Daphnia pulex: one gene and its partners. The protein of the gene in region 2 purifies or fractionates together with the protein of the main gene of each other region. This does not show direct contact. Links are inferred from orthologs where the notes say so. Each region holds a gene or a part of one and is shown on either strand. Other genes may lie near its edges.

Region 1 (3,346 bases), on a different chromosome or scaffold from region 2:
AATATTCTGAATTAAATCTTACTTCAAGGTACTGACGTCTTGGAAGACACTTATCAAGTGCTAGAAATTGAGTTGATTGTTTTTCATTATGTTGGATTGTAGCAGCAAACCTACAATGAAGGTGGGCAGCAAACCAATGTTTAGGCTTCAATTCGTGAAGTAATGTTTCTCCAGCTTGACTTCCCAATACATTTTGGGCTATCTCATCACTGGAAGGGGAAAGAAAGAAATGTGTAAATTGAATTGTGTTTTGGAACAATTAGGTAACACTATTTCAAACCGAAAGAATGGTTTCCAATGCAGAAGTTCTCTGGTATCTGCATAATTGTAGACACCACGAGGCCAATCATGTGAAATAAAAATATCTATGTCTTCTTTTAACTGAAAATTAAAAGACATTTAAGTTTTTAATCTTTAAAACAATCAAAATGTAATTACCTGTTTCAAGCGAAATACTTCAAGACTACGAACATGATAAGCTGATCTCATAGTGCTGTTTGTGTAGGGAGGTTTTTCAAAATGTCCTTTCAAGTAATCATGTCCTTTAAAGATGCCTGATATTCCCGCTATTCTGATGCCACCAAACTTGACTACACCAGCATAGCCAAGATAATATATATTTGGAGCAACCCAGCCTCCATATGCAAGTTCTTGTAGATAGTTTGATGCTTCATGATTGCCTCCAATGAAAATAGTTAAAATTGGTGCTTTCAATTCACCATTATAATACCTGATATTGAAAAAAACAGTAACAATTACAATAAACTCTTATTTGTCTAAAACAATTATAAATAAATACTTGTAGAATGTACAGATATGACGGAATTTGTCAGGTACTGCCATGCATTGTAAGTCACTTTCGTTTCGAACAGCTTGAAAATCTCCACAACAGATGAGCAAATCAACTTTGACATTTCTTTGCCTCGCCAAATTCTCGACAGACCGGTAAATTTGATCAAGTTCACCATGAGCGCACCCTTCAACAGCAATAATCATGTTTTATACTGTCTTTAACTTGATATTTTAAGATAAATGTCAAATGCTGTTTCAAAGTTGATAACTTGCTTTCAAGTTACAACACAAACTCAATATTTTGAAGTTGTTTACAGTTTTACTGGAAGCCGAATCGTTCGTGGCTATTGTCGTCTGCTTAAAACCTAGCGGCAAAAACACAGCCATTTTCATATATTTTCTAACGTTTATAATTTTTTTTAATTTTGTTGACAAATTTAAATACTTTAGTTTAGAAAAGTATTTATATTTCAAGATAAAAAGCTACAGATGCACAAAACCTTTGATAAAACTTTAGTTTGAAAAGTTAATTTCCTGTTTGGAAATGTATTCGGAAATGAGTTGCAACATCGCACATGGCGTCACTTAGATATCCCTAGATTTGTCAACTACAAACGTGCAAAAACATTTTGTTCAAGTTTTAATTGCATCTTTTCCCAAATTCAATTACGTGTTTAAGGTTTAAAAAGCCAAAAAGAAAATGGTGAAGTTGACGGCTGAGGTCATTCACTTGAGCCACCAGTACACGAATGCCATCAAAGAAAGAGAACTAGATTTAAGAGGTATGTAACCGGCGTTCAGCTTCAATCTCATTCAGTCAGTTACTAAAGTTCAAAAGTTTTTTGTGTTGGCTTAAAAAAAGTGATGTAATTGTAAAAATATTTCGTGAAAATACAGCTATTTTTTGTCATCATTTTAGGTTACAAGATTCCTGTAATTGAAAACCTAGGAGCAACTTTAGTAAGTAAATTTGTAGTGTAATCATGCTGAACAGTTACTGGAGTGTTTTCTTTTTTCAGGATCAGTTTGACACAATAGATTTTTCAGATAATGACATAAGGAAATTGGATGGTTTTCCCTTGCTGAGACGAATTAAAAGTCTTCTCCTAAACAACAACAGAATCTTGTAAGTTTTTTGTTGTATTATTCACAAATTTAATTTCATGCAAATGATTCTTTAAAATCTGTAGACGCATTGCTGATGGATTAGGTGAAGTCATTCCAAACCTCGAAACCCTTGTCCTGACAAATAATCATCTGCAAGAGTTGGGCGACCTTGACCCATTAGCAGAATTCTCTAAACTCACCTATTTAAGTCTACTGAGCAATCCTGTTGCAAATAAGCAACATTATCGTTCATATGTGATAAACAAGTTGCCAAGCCTGAGGGTGTTGGATTTTCGTAAAGTAAAACTTAAGGTAATAATGTTCTACCTGACATCAGGAATTTTCCTCCTTATTCATGTAAAACTTGATTTGAAGGAGAGAGAAGCCGCCCGAGACCTATTCAAATCAAAGAAAGGAAAAGTATTGGCGAAAGAAATCGCCCAGAAAAGCAAGTTTCTTTCAGCTGAAGCGGGAAATAAGGCACCGATAGGTAAAAAACACAAATGTTTTGTTTTGTTAGCCTAAGAAATGTTATTAAATTATTTTGTGTAGGTGGTGCATCTGCGGAGGAGGCTCGTGCAATCCGAGAAGCTGTTGCTAATGCCTCCACCTTGGAAGAGGTAGAACGTCTAAACCAAATGTTGAGGGCAGGTGTCGTACCTGGAAAAGCCACCCAAGGCTCCAGCAAAAACGGAAATGCAAATGGTAAATTCACATCCTGTCTTCAACTTCCTTGTTTCGTTTGTTAAAACTTTTGAATTGTTGTAGGTGAAGATATGGAGGAGGAAGAAGATGAACCCATGGAGAAATGACAATGCCATCACGGGTAAAAATTAATTTGTATCAAGCTGTTAATGTGAATGTGGGACTACACTTTGATAATAAAAATATCGCTACCCTAGAGTAAATAAGGTAGCAGAAAGATATTTTTGAAATTACAAATTGCCCGTCTAATTTGTGTCACAGTTAAAAGACCGAGAAGCGATTAAATTTGGTCATTTTAACAAAACTGTGTTGTGAAAAATGCGTAGCGAAACCAATTTTCAGTCATAGAATTAGATATGCTACATAGTGTGTATATCCTACGTGTATTCGGAAGAGGCTCATCTGCCATTTGCGGAATGAGTCATGCATAGAAGGCGGATGTGGGGGTGTGCGTTATTTTCAGCCGGACATGACGGGTTAGGAGTAGCTTGGAAACTGTAGACGATCTAATTTAGAGCGTTTCGTGTCCTTTCATTAACGAGCGTGCCCGTGCGTAAGTTTCGTTGTTTTGAGTAAGATTTTTGGCGCCCACTCCTATTTTTCCCGATACCACATCCGGAATATCATGAGCTAACACCGCCATGATGATGTGATAATGGCAGCAAACTTGGTTTGTAGGTTACAACTTACAGCTATACGAAAATCCAGAACTGATCGTTTTAAGTTCAAAATTCTACTAATA
Region 2 (3,258 bases):
AGAAGTTGACTAATGCCCAGCGTTCCGGTTTGAATCAAATTCCCAACCGTCGGTTCACTCTGTGGTGGTCGCCAACCATCAACCGAGCCAACGTCTACGTTGGTTTCCAGGTCCAACTCGATTTGACTGGCATTTTCATGCACGGCAAAATCCCGACGTTGAAGATTTCCTTGATTCAAATTTTCCGTGCCCATTTGTGGCAGAAGATCCACGAATCCGTCGTGATGGATCTTTGTCAAGTTTTCGATCAGGAACTTGACGCTTTGGAGATTGAAACTGTGCAGAAAGAAACTATTCATCCCCGTAAATCTTACAAGATGAACTCTTCCTGCGCCGACATCCTTCTCTTCGCCTCGTAAGTGGAACTTATTTTTCTGTCTTGTGTTTTCCTTGTTGTAATATTTGTTACATGTTCTTCATTTTGTTTTTTCAGGTACAAGTGGAACGTTTCTCGGCCATCCCTTTTGGCTGACTCTCGTGATGTCATGGACAATACCACCACACAAAAATACTGGATTGATGTCCAGCTGCGTTGGGGCGATTACGATTCCCACGACATTGAACGTTATTCTCGTGCTAAATTCCTCGACTACACGACAGACAACATGTCCATCTATCCGTCGCCGACTGGTGTCCTGATTGCCCTGGATTTGGCCTACAATTTGCACAGTGCATACGGCAATTGGTTCCCTGGATCCAAGCCGCTTATCCAACAAGCCATGGCGAAGATCATGAAGGCCAATCCTGCTCTCTACGTCTTGCGCGAACGTATCCGCAAAGGTCTCCAGCTGTATTCTTCTGAGCCGACGGAACCTTACTTGTCATCGCAGAATTACGGCGAATTGTTCTCCAATCAAATCATTTGGTTCGTCGATGATACAAACGTCTACCGTGTCACGATCCACAAGACCTTCGAAGGCAACTTGACGACCAAACCCATTAACGGAGCCATTTTCATCTTCAATCCTCGTACTGGTCAGCTTTTCCTCAAGATTATTCACACGTCCGTATGGGCCGGTCAGAAGCGTTTGGGTCAGCTGGCGAAGTGGAAGACTGCCGAAGAAGTTGCCGCCCTGATTCGATCGTTGCCCGTGGAAGAACAGCCCAAACAGATCATCGTCACACGAAAGGGCATGTTGGATCCCCTCGAAGTCCATTTGCTGGATTTCCCCAACATTGTCATCAAGGGCTCTGAGCTCCAGCTTCCCTTCCAGGCCTGCCTTAAAGTCGAGAAGTTTGGTGATTTGATTTTGAAGGCGACCGAACCCCAGATGGTCCTGTTCAACCTCTACGACGATTGGCTGAAAACCATTTCCAGCTACACGGCATTCTCCCGTCTTATTCTTATTCTGCGCGCCCTTCACGTGAACAATGACCGAACCAAGGTGGTGCTGAAACCGGACAAGACCACCATCACCGAAGCCCACCACATTTGGCCCTCACTGACGGACGAGCAATGGATCAAAGTTGAAGTGCAACTCAAGGATCTCATCCTGGCGGATTACGGCAAGAAGAACAACGTCAACGTGGCTTCGCTGACACAGTCTGAAATTCGAGACATCATTCTCGGTATGGAGATCAGTGCCCCTTCGGCCCAACGTCAGCAGATTGCCGAAATCGAGAAGCAGACCAAGGAGCAGACGCAGCTGACAGCTACGACGACACGAACAGTCAACAAACATGGTGACGAAATCATCACGAGCACCACTTCCAATTACGAGACGCAGACATTCAGCTCCAAGACCGAATGGAGAATCCGAGCCATTTCGGCCACCAACCTCCACCTCCGAACGAATCACATTTACGTTTCATCGGACGACATTAAAGAGACGGGCTACACTTACATTCTACCCAAGAACGTGCTGAAAAAGTTTGTCACCATTTCCGACTTGAGAGCGCAGATTGCGGGATACCTTTACGGCATCAGTCCACCTGACAATCCTCAGGTGAAGGAGATTCGCTGCATTGTGATGCCGCCTCAATGGGGTACGCATCAGTCGATCCACTTGCCCGTCCAACTACCCCAGCACGAGTACCTCAAAGACCTGGAGCCACTCGGCTGGATGCACACTCAACCCAATGAGTTGCCGCAACTGTCGCCACAGGATATTACAACTCACGCCAAAGTGATGGCCGACAATGCCAATTGGGATGGCGAGAAGACTGTGATCATTACGTGCAGTTTCACACCTGGCTCTTGTTCGCTCATGGCCTACAAGTTGACGCCCAGCGGCTTTGAATGGGGCAAACAGAACACGGATCGCGGCAACAATCCCAAGGGTTATCTACCGTCACATTACGAGCGAGTGCAAATGTTGTTGTCCGATCAATTCCTCGGCTTTTTCATGGTCCCTTGCCAGGGCTCGTGGAACTACAATTTCATGGGTGTTCGCCACGACCCTAACATGAAGTATGAACTTCACCTGGCCAATCCAAAGGAGTTTTATCACGAGGTTCATCGGCCATCGCATTTCATGAATTTCTCCTCCATCGAGGAAGGTGACAGTGTCGGAGCAGATCGTGATGACTCGTTCGCTTGATTTTCTTGATTTTTTTTTTGTATGGTCTTTTTTCGTTTCCATCCGGGGCCCGTTCCCAATACATAGCCGGAGAAAATAGAAAATAATATGTTTGGGAACTCATGAAATCAAGCTTTGTGTTTTGCTTCCCAATTCTTATAACTTGAAGTTTTTTTCATGTTTTAATGTACTTTCTGTTTGATTCGATTTAAACAGAATACAATAGAGCAAACATTTTATTTCCGTCTGCAACGTTTAATTTGTTTCCATTGCATTCTGTTCCATATCTGCCTTGATCTGAAGTTACTATCGATCAAGAGAGCATCCTTTTGTACTTTACACAACTTAACGAATTGATTAGCTTACGAATAATTAAGTCCTAGAAGTTAAAACAACGAAATCAGCCAAGAGCTAATACTTAATCAATTTCAGTTTGTTTTTCTAACCCTTCCTCTCCCCACCCAGAGTTCTTTTAATGCACAGGTGAAAAATATTACTTTTTAAGATGCAACCTTGAATTGATTACCATAACCCTTAAAAAAAATTTATTCCCCATTTTGTACCTTTTAAGGGGTTAGCAAAACCGCCTACTGAGACAGTTCTCTTATTGACGTGGTCTTGTGAACACGGACAGTTGCAGACTTGCAGGGCAGTTTCGCAGTCCTGCTTGTATTCCAACAGTGATCATCATGCCTCGTTATTTCAGTTCTGTAGCTTTATTTTTTGCGTTCAACAACAG
Region 3 (4,314 bases), on a different chromosome or scaffold from region 2:
AGAAATGAGAAAAGTTGAATATATTTCCATTTCTGAGACCAGGAAGGAATCGATGACAGTGTAGCAGAGGGAGAGACAAAATGGTTGTAAAATGCTTTCCGATTACGTAATTATCCCCCAAGGTCCGTACTGATGTAAATGAGGTTTTTTGATGGTTTAGGATTTTCCAGAATTGTTTTTTACTTCTTACGACCGCCTCGTTCCTTCACCTGAAGCTGGACAACAGCATCGGGGGTAACATTGTAAAATGCCAGAGAATGATTGTCCTTGAAGTAGAGCCCCTCCCAAAAGAGCTTTTGCTTGGCCGGCGGCATTCCTGTCGCTTCACTAATCTTCTGCTTAACAACGGAGATTGGTTCCGTGGGCAACAAGGAAAAGCTGAGCTGCTGGCCCTGCAATCTCCACTCGGGTTTTTCGGCGTAAACTGGTGCACCAATATGGAAGTGGAGCAGACCGGGATATCTGACCAAAAAGGCTTCCTCAGGCATAAGTTGATCCTCGTTGCGCTGTCGTTTAGAAGGAGGCTCCTCCTCCATGACATCTCGACCACCCTGACCCTGCTGCTGTTGCTGCATCATGCCCATAGACTGAGGCATCTGCGTCATGAAAGAATTCTGGGGGACCATGGGCATTGGCATTGGCGGCTGAGGGATGGACATCATCATCATGGGTGGCGGCTGCGGAGCAGACATCATGACCGGTGGTCTTGGTGGAATGCTCATTAATTGTTGTGGAGGTTTAGGTGGCGCTGCTGCTACAACGCCATTAGATCCTAGCCCATCTTCTTCCTCGCTCATGCCAGTCATGAGCGCCTTGTTCTTGTGGATCTGCGCAATCTGCTCTTGTATGGTAACCAGGCCAGCAGGTGGACCAGGTCGGGGTTGGAACGTTGATCCTCCCTCTCCACCTGATGGTGGCGGGGCAGGCGGTTGTTGTCCTTCCCATTTGGTCTCGTCTTTGCGACGCTCTTCTTCACCAATCTTTTTACCGATGGCTGTCTCTTCGTCACCGACACCGAAAATATCTGTACGACGTTCAGCCAATGCTCGCAAGCTGTTTTCGATGGCTGATCCGGGCGCGTACACAGACTCTTGAGTCATCTTTTCTTGCATTTGTCGATCGCGCTGCTCCAACCAACGCGGATCCAGCAAACCGATACGCATGTGCTCAGCCACTTGGCTAGCCGGAATTCGCTCTCCAGTGATGGGTGAGATGAGGTACTCGTCTGGAGCAGGCGGACGGGCTTGTGGTTTTGCCACAGCTTTGGGATTGTAGTCTTTACGCACGATGACGTTTTCGGCAGAAGGAGCCACTGGAGGAGGCTGTAGTCCATCTCCCTTGATGGCTTGAGAGGGCGGTGCGCCTGGTGGTGGTGGTGGCTTTGTCTGTTCCGTGTCTGAATCGTCTTCTTCATCATCGTCTTCCTCTTCACTCTCCAGCTGCATCTCAACATCTTGTCCTTCTTCGTAGCGCTCCTGGAGAAGAATACGGGCACCGACCTCCTCTGGGGTTGTGGGAGGAGGGAAATTACCAATTTCGAATGGTTGATAGTCAACTGATTCGACGACTACAAAGTCGTGCCAATCAATTTGCGCATATGACACGCGTTCCCTTTCAGCTTCTTCTTCTTCTCGGCGTTTCTGAGCCTCTTGATGACGTTGCCAGTCGGCTCGTCGTTTGACTTCTTGTAAGACAACGCTAGTATTAGTGCAACCCTCGTTCAAACGGGTCATCAAGTCTTTCGGTGGGATAAGAACCTAAAGAATAACAAAATCATTTAGACTTTCATTCAAACAAAATAATCTACCAATCAAAATACTTTGGTGTACTGTTCTAGGAGACGAGTGAAATATTGAAAAAGCGAGTGCTGAGGACGCAGAAAGTCAAACTGATAATTTCTGGCCTCACGATTCATCAGACTTGTGAGGAACTGGCGACCATTCCTAGCTACAAATTGGGCAGTGAGTTTCACAATGTCTCTGAAATAAGACACAAGTGTTGTTAAGTTTTAGCTTCATAATATTTAAATAGTTATTTAAAAAACTCACAATTCCATGGCTGAAATCGATGGAGGATCAACAATGAATTCAAACTCTGGAGGTGGCTCTTTTGGGATTACAGGGGCTTCTTGCTGGAATTGTTTCAAAATTTCTTGCTGTTTCTGCTGCTGTGCCAACGAAGCTGGTGCTGATGTAGGGGCTGATGGTGGTGGTTTTCCCGGTGGGCCTGGGACAGGTGCTGCTGCAGGTGCACCTTCTGCAAGCTTTCCTTCTCTGATATCCTTAACTTTGTACTGGTAGTATGCATGATAAGGATCTCCAGTATTAAGAAAGTTGAATTTTGGGTTATTCTGCTCATTTTTCCTAATCCGTGCTTCAAACTCCAACCCATTTCTGGCTACAAAGCTGGCTGTCTTGTCCACAATATCTAAGAAGAAAATTGTTATGAATTATTCACGAACTTGTAAGTTGACAACAAACTTACTTCTGACTTCAGGAGGTGGGTAAATGATGCCGACAGTAGGCTTGGTAGAAGCATTCTCGGGCATATTTACTTCACCAGAAACTGGCAATGTTTCCACAGCAGGTGGCATGCTGACTATCAAACTCTATTCTGATGTATGAAATTGTCAGATTCTCACGTCAAAATTAAAAACTGATTCTATTTCTAAAATGTGAGTTAAATAGCGTTTTTCTGTTCCGGCTTTAACAGCAGAACGCAACAAAACGTTGCTGTCTATCCGCTACAATGTTGTCAGACTGTTTAATTTCAGTGTGGCGCCCACTTCTTCCGAATTCCGATTCCGACTTCTTCCCACTTTTTTCCACCTAGAAAAAATTGTTAAACTCTTATCTGCTATTAGTTCAATTCAGAAAAAGAATCCCTTGAACTATACTGTTGAATTATACGGAATTCACTAATATATGTCAAGTACCAAAACAAAATCATATCCAAATTCATAGTTCATTCGGTTCATTCATCTGTTTGCTCGTTTGAATCGATACAAGAAATGAAGAAAGTATGTAGTAAGAATTTAGAATAAACTTGAACGTTAAACAACAATGATCAAGTATAAAAAATACAACCACTTTGAACTGATTGAGGAATTATGACTGGATCTTTTAGATCTTTTATCTGATAGATTTTAAGATTTCTAACAGGCAATTTGAGTGAAGATAGTAGGAAAATGATTGTTTAGCAATGAACAAAGAAAAGGAATTTTGTTTTTAAAATCCAAGAGAAAATTCATTAAGCAACCATCAGATTTATTTTTCGACACTTGTTTGAAATCAAAGAATTTTCGAGCCGTTTAGGCAATGTTCGCCAAGTAATCCTTAACCTCAGCGGGAGATAATCGGCGGAAACCCTGCTCGTTACAAATACCAATTTCAACATTATCTTCTGTCATGCCTCCTTCAAAACCCTCTTTGAGAGTAAGAATCGCAGTGTGGACAGCATCGTCGAGCTCGAGGTCTTCATTGTATCTTTTCTCGAGGAAAGTTTTGCCATTGATGTAATTCTTTCCCATGGCAGTGGCTTTCCAGGCAAAGTAGGCTCCTGATGGATCACACTGAAACAGATATGGACGTCCTTCATCCCAGCCACACATCAAGAGTGAAACACCAAATGGCCTGACACCTCTGCATTACAAAAATTCATTGAAATGTTCATCTATACTATTTAAGAACTATTTTTTTGTGACAAAACCAAATATTTACCCAGACTGTGTGTACTCTTGCATGAGGGTAGCAACACGCTGGACAAGCTGGGCAGTTGGTATCTGTTCTTGATAAGTTACCCAATATTGTTGAGCCATTTTCCTTGCTTGACGAACCAAGAGGCGATAATCAGGACCCATTCCACTGTAGACCATACCGATCTTGGGGGTAATCATTTCAATCTTGTGAACACTGTGTTCTTCATATAAGATTGACCGATGCTTCTTCTCAGTGGCCAGAACGACACCATTGGCAGCTATAACATAACATTATTTACATTGTTACAATCTTTTACATGCTGAAATTTCAATATACCTTTAATGCCGACTGATGCAGCACCGGCAGCTACTGCGGCCAAAGCATACTCGATTTGTACCAGTTTTCCAGAAGGACTAAACAATGAAAATAAATGTTATATTTAGTCAAAACTTAGAAAGTAAATGATAGAAAACCTGAAAGTTGTTAGGGAGAAACTATATCTTTCGGAAGCCATGGTCTAGTTAGATTTTTTAGTTCTGTTCTGTTCAGTTATTGAATGACAGGACAGAATTGAATGCGCCTTCAACACTTGGTCGGGAAATGAAGAAGAGTTTAA
Region 4 (3,515 bases), on a different chromosome or scaffold from region 2:
ACTCTAAAGGAAGGTGCGGGTCCACCTGAAGTCCTCAGTTGTCCGCCGAACTTCCATTCACGTAGACACAACAGGAGCTCTCCATTTCTCTCTCTCCTCTCTATCTCTCCTGTTTTTCTTTTCCCCACTTCTTTGCCACATCGCCGCCTCTGTGCTATTTTTATATTCGCTTGCACTCTCTCGTCAGGAAGTCTTTTTCCTGTCCCCTACAAGCGATAAATTGTTTTCGTGAATCGCCGTTGATTACTTACCCAATTCCAACATGTCACCAACATGCTCTAAATTGTGCAACTGCTGGCTTTGCCGCACTCGCAGTTAATCTATTTTAGAAAAAAACCTTGTGAATTGGTAAGCGACTATTTTTGGCATCTCCAACTTTTTCAATCAATTACACTAAGCATCGCGCCAGTGGTCCGCCGTTTCTGCGGATATAATTGAATTAGTGATTTAACCGGATGGTCTAGACAATTGATATTCTAACCAGTTTTGTTGTTTGTTTGTTTTGTTTTTCTTCTTCTCCCCATCACAGAATTGTTGATTCAGATGGTGAATTCTTGCTGGTTGAAGCTGCCGATAGTCTTCCGCGTTGGGCCAACCCAGAAACTTGCATCAACAGGGTAAGTTTATTCGCTTAACTCTTTTTTTTGGAATTCCTTGACAAAGTTATAATTTTATCACTCTGAAAATTACAGGTTTTTATCCATGGTGGTCAAGTTCATATAATCAGTATAGCTGATCGTCCCTCTAGTATCACTCCTTTACCGTCAGGCCAGCCTTCTCTGATGGACGCTGTTCACATTGTTCGTTCCATGCCGCACTTGACCATAGCACCCGCTCCCATTCAAGAGCCAATCCACCAGCGCATTGACAAGTAAATTTGAAATTTCTAATTTTGTTTTCGAGTTTAAGGCCATTTCGTAATGGGGACAACTCCCCTGGTTTTTTTTTTGTGTGTGTGTTTTTTCTTTCAACTAATTCAGGTGCGTATCTCAAATCGATTCCAGTCTTCACCGTTGCAATGTATTCGTGCCTGCTGGTGTTGCCGCTTTGCTGCAATCCTATCCGACTCTTGTAGCACCAGCTATTCATGCATTCTGTCAGCGCGATGCCTCTCAACTGCAGGTATTTAAAAAGTGTCTGGTTAAAATGTCAGCTCAAACCCGAGCTCCCGAAGGCAAGGTTTAATCAATTATTTTGTTCCCCCCGTTATGTAACGTAGGTTATCCGCGCCATGCGTTTCTTTCCCCCAGAAACTCGAGTATGGACGTCAGTGACATTCACAAAATGTCTTTATGCTATGCTTGTTCACCGTAACTACCAGCCAGATCACAGGACTGGCTGGTCTTTACCACCGATTGGCGATTCCAAACGAACGGGTTCAGACCTTGGCATGAAACTTGTACGCAATTTCTTTTATCTGATTTTGTCTTTTCTGTTTTGAATTTATTTATGTTTTCAAATCATTTCAGGCTATTGGATTTGAATTACTGGCTAACGAGGAATCCTTACACCAAAAAGACGACGATTATTCTTTGGACATGGATTCACGTTGGAATCGATTCCTAAACACACTGAAAGAAAAAGGATTTTTCCAGGTAAATTTCACTGAAAGTTATTTTGTCAAATTTACAAAGTAATTTGTGTTTTTATTTCTGTTTGTTCTTTTAGGATTTCCTCGATGGTTCTAAACCACATAATGAGCTTATGGAAAAAGCTCGAGAATTTTACATCAATAGTGTGGGAGTAGAAGGACCGGCAAAGAAACCTGTCATTTTAAGACTGATGCAATCTGTTTGTGCCGATGTCGACAAATTCAAGAAAGTAGAATCCCATTTACCTGCGGATGACGGTAAGGTTTCACTTGTAAGACGTTGGTAGAACTGCAACTCATGTTTCGTTGTTATTCAATACAGATGACTCCTGGCTATCTGTTGATCCTGCCACCCTTGATCAAATTCTCGGCGACAAATTTAGTTTGTTGGGAGTCGATGATGATGACGAGGCCAAGGCCGATATCTTGCCTAAACTTGAAACCTTCCTCAATCGGACGTCAGATTATGAAGGTCTTACGCCGGCCAACGGCAGGAAGAAATCCAGAAAGCTTTCTCACCTAGCTCCGCCTTCAAGGAAGACGTCAACGCTCTCAAACGCCTCTGACGCTTCCCAACTTTCTACCAACATTGGTTTCGATCCAGATAGTTTTGCATCCGCAATGCAAGGGATTCTTGGTACGTCAATTTCTTGTAAATTTGTTGGACTTTGAAAATAATAAAAAAAAAATCTTTTGTAGATTTCGCTCTGCCAGAAGACAATTGGGATTTGGAATCAAATTCTTCTTGTTTGAGCAGCTACAGTGAAGAGGAAGAAGGCGACGAGTTGGTAGACAAGGAGATGAACAAATACATGCAAACAATGGATCAAGAATTGTTAACCACGGATGTTCATCGTACTTCCGTAGACAACCCTACTCGCAAGGTAAATTTTTGTGTGTGTGGAATTAACAAACAATTGGTAATAAGCCATCGAATTCGTTTCCAGGAATCCGTCATGAGCGAAGGTTGTGAGAGTTTCAGCGATGTGGAAAACTTTCAACCCGTAAAAATTGATTCTGCTGCTCTTGAATCCCTTCTTGCTTCCTACACAATGCAGCGTGGTGGTCCTGGTCCTGCATCTATTTTGTTGAATCAATTGAATCTTTCTCGGAGCCAGGTATCAGCCAGTAAAAAACAAACCGACTGAAGATTGTGACCTTACGTTTGTTTTTCTCCTCTTTTTCTCTTCACTCTTTCCCTATGTAATTATTATCGATGTCTTTTCATCCGCCCTATTTCCTCTTACCCATGCGATTGGGTGATTTGAGGTTTAATTTATTATTATGATTCGTCTTTTGATAAAAACTTCCGGTTTTTTTTTTCTTTAAAAAATTCGGTCCCTCACCTTTTCGAATCTGACACATTTCTCAAAAGCCAGTCGCTGCTATCCCTCTGTGATACACAACGCTCGGTGGAGGTGGTTTGTATAACGGGACTTTTTTTTTTTTTTTCCATTTCCAGCTCCATTCCTAATACATTTCGGATTTATGTATTCGCCTTCTTTGCGTTCTTCCATGTCTTTTGGCGTTATAGCTGCCATTTGAAAGATACACGAGGATTCACACTGAGCACGTCTTGTAAATTAAGTCGATACAAACGGAACGACTCGTGGGGTCAAATTACTCGTACCCACGCAAGTCACGGTTTGCCTCCAGCCCGTATCCTTGTTCCAGATTTTAAAAATACCTTTTTTTTTTGCTAAGTTGTTGTATGCGCACAAATGTGGAGTCAAAAGGGCAAGGTACAAGCTATTTTAATTCGCGTCTGGCCATTATTTTTATTCTTTTGGCTTTTTGAAGTAGTTCTAATGAATTTGAGTATCGTTAAATTGTTTGCCAACATACCAAAATGTCCAATCATCGAGTTCTCAACGGATTTGATGATAATACAGTTGAGTAAGTTTGAAGGATGCCATTACGCAGT

What was found.
Region 1: the proteins of pre-mRNA-processing-splicing factor 8 (region 2) and U2 small nuclear ribonucleoprotein A'-like fractionate together in Homo sapiens (co-fractionation; 3 studies listed by BioGRID, with this or other methods). This does not show direct contact. The link is inferred for Daphnia pulex from reciprocal best matches to the Homo sapiens genes PRPF8 and SNRPA1.
Region 3: the proteins of pre-mRNA-processing-splicing factor 8 (region 2) and splicing factor 3A subunit 1-like purify together in Homo sapiens (affinity purification with mass spectrometry; 4 studies listed by BioGRID and IntAct, with this or other methods). This does not show direct contact. The link is inferred for Daphnia pulex from reciprocal best matches to the Homo sapiens genes PRPF8 and SF3A1.
Region 4: the proteins of pre-mRNA-processing-splicing factor 8 (region 2) and protein ecdysoneless-like purify together in Homo sapiens (affinity purification with mass spectrometry; 7 studies listed by BioGRID and IntAct, counting the BioPlex papers as one, with this or other methods). This does not show direct contact. The link is inferred for Daphnia pulex from reciprocal best matches to the Homo sapiens genes PRPF8 and ECD.

Annotation. Positions count from the first base shown.
Region 1 is NC_060021.1:10,325,753-10,329,098, reverse strand, and holds U2 small nuclear ribonucleoprotein A'-like, read left to right. Parts: upstream 1-1,349; 5' UTR 1,350-1,492; coding exon 1,493-1,574; intron 1,575-1,711; coding exon 1,712-1,752; intron 1,753-1,811; coding exon 1,812-1,918; intron 1,919-1,982; coding exon 1,983-2,211; intron 2,212-2,274; coding exon 2,275-2,389; intron 2,390-2,451; coding exon 2,452-2,604; intron 2,605-2,667; coding exon 2,668-2,711; 3' UTR 2,712-2,841; downstream 2,842-3,346. Other genes in the region: lariat debranching enzyme B-like, read right to left, coding at 23-209, 281-381, 439-730, 800-996. UniProt on the Homo sapiens protein: Involved in pre-mRNA splicing as component of the spliceosome. Associated with sn-RNP U2, where it contributes to the binding of stem loop IV of U2 snRNA.
Region 2 is NC_060027.1:2,056,643-2,059,900, forward strand, and holds the end of pre-mRNA-processing-splicing factor 8, read left to right. Parts: coding exon 1-355; intron 356-433; coding exon 434-2,540; 3' UTR 2,541-2,758; downstream 2,759-3,258. UniProt on the Homo sapiens protein: Plays a role in pre-mRNA splicing as core component of precatalytic, catalytic and postcatalytic spliceosomal complexes, both of the predominant U2-type spliceosome and the minor U12-type spliceosome.
Region 3 is NC_060024.1:13,065,666-13,069,979, reverse strand, and holds the start of splicing factor 3A subunit 1-like, read right to left. Parts: upstream 2,806-4,314; 5' UTR 2,594-2,805; coding exon 2,485-2,593; intron 2,428-2,484; coding exon 2,049-2,427; intron 1,980-2,048; coding exon 1,820-1,979; intron 1,758-1,819; coding exon 180-1,757; 3' UTR 1-179. Other genes in the region: proteasome subunit alpha type-2, read right to left, coding at 3,311-3,641, 3,720-3,975, 4,035-4,111, 4,172-4,212. UniProt on the Homo sapiens protein: Component of the 17S U2 SnRNP complex of the spliceosome, a large ribonucleoprotein complex that removes introns from transcribed pre-mRNAs.
Region 4 is NC_060018.1:5,231,286-5,234,800, forward strand, and holds the end of protein ecdysoneless-like, read left to right. Parts: intron 1-529; coding exon 530-617; intron 618-692; coding exon 693-871; intron 872-980; coding exon 981-1,122; intron 1,123-1,219; coding exon 1,220-1,399; intron 1,400-1,469; coding exon 1,470-1,595; intron 1,596-1,668; coding exon 1,669-1,849; intron 1,850-1,913; coding exon 1,914-2,228; intron 2,229-2,290; coding exon 2,291-2,475; intron 2,476-2,538; coding exon 2,539-2,739; 3' UTR 2,740-3,160; downstream 3,161-3,515. UniProt on the Homo sapiens protein: Regulator of p53/TP53 stability and function. Inhibits MDM2-mediated degradation of p53/TP53 possibly by cooperating in part with TXNIP. May be involved transcriptional regulation. In vitro has intrinsic transactivation activity enhanced by EP300.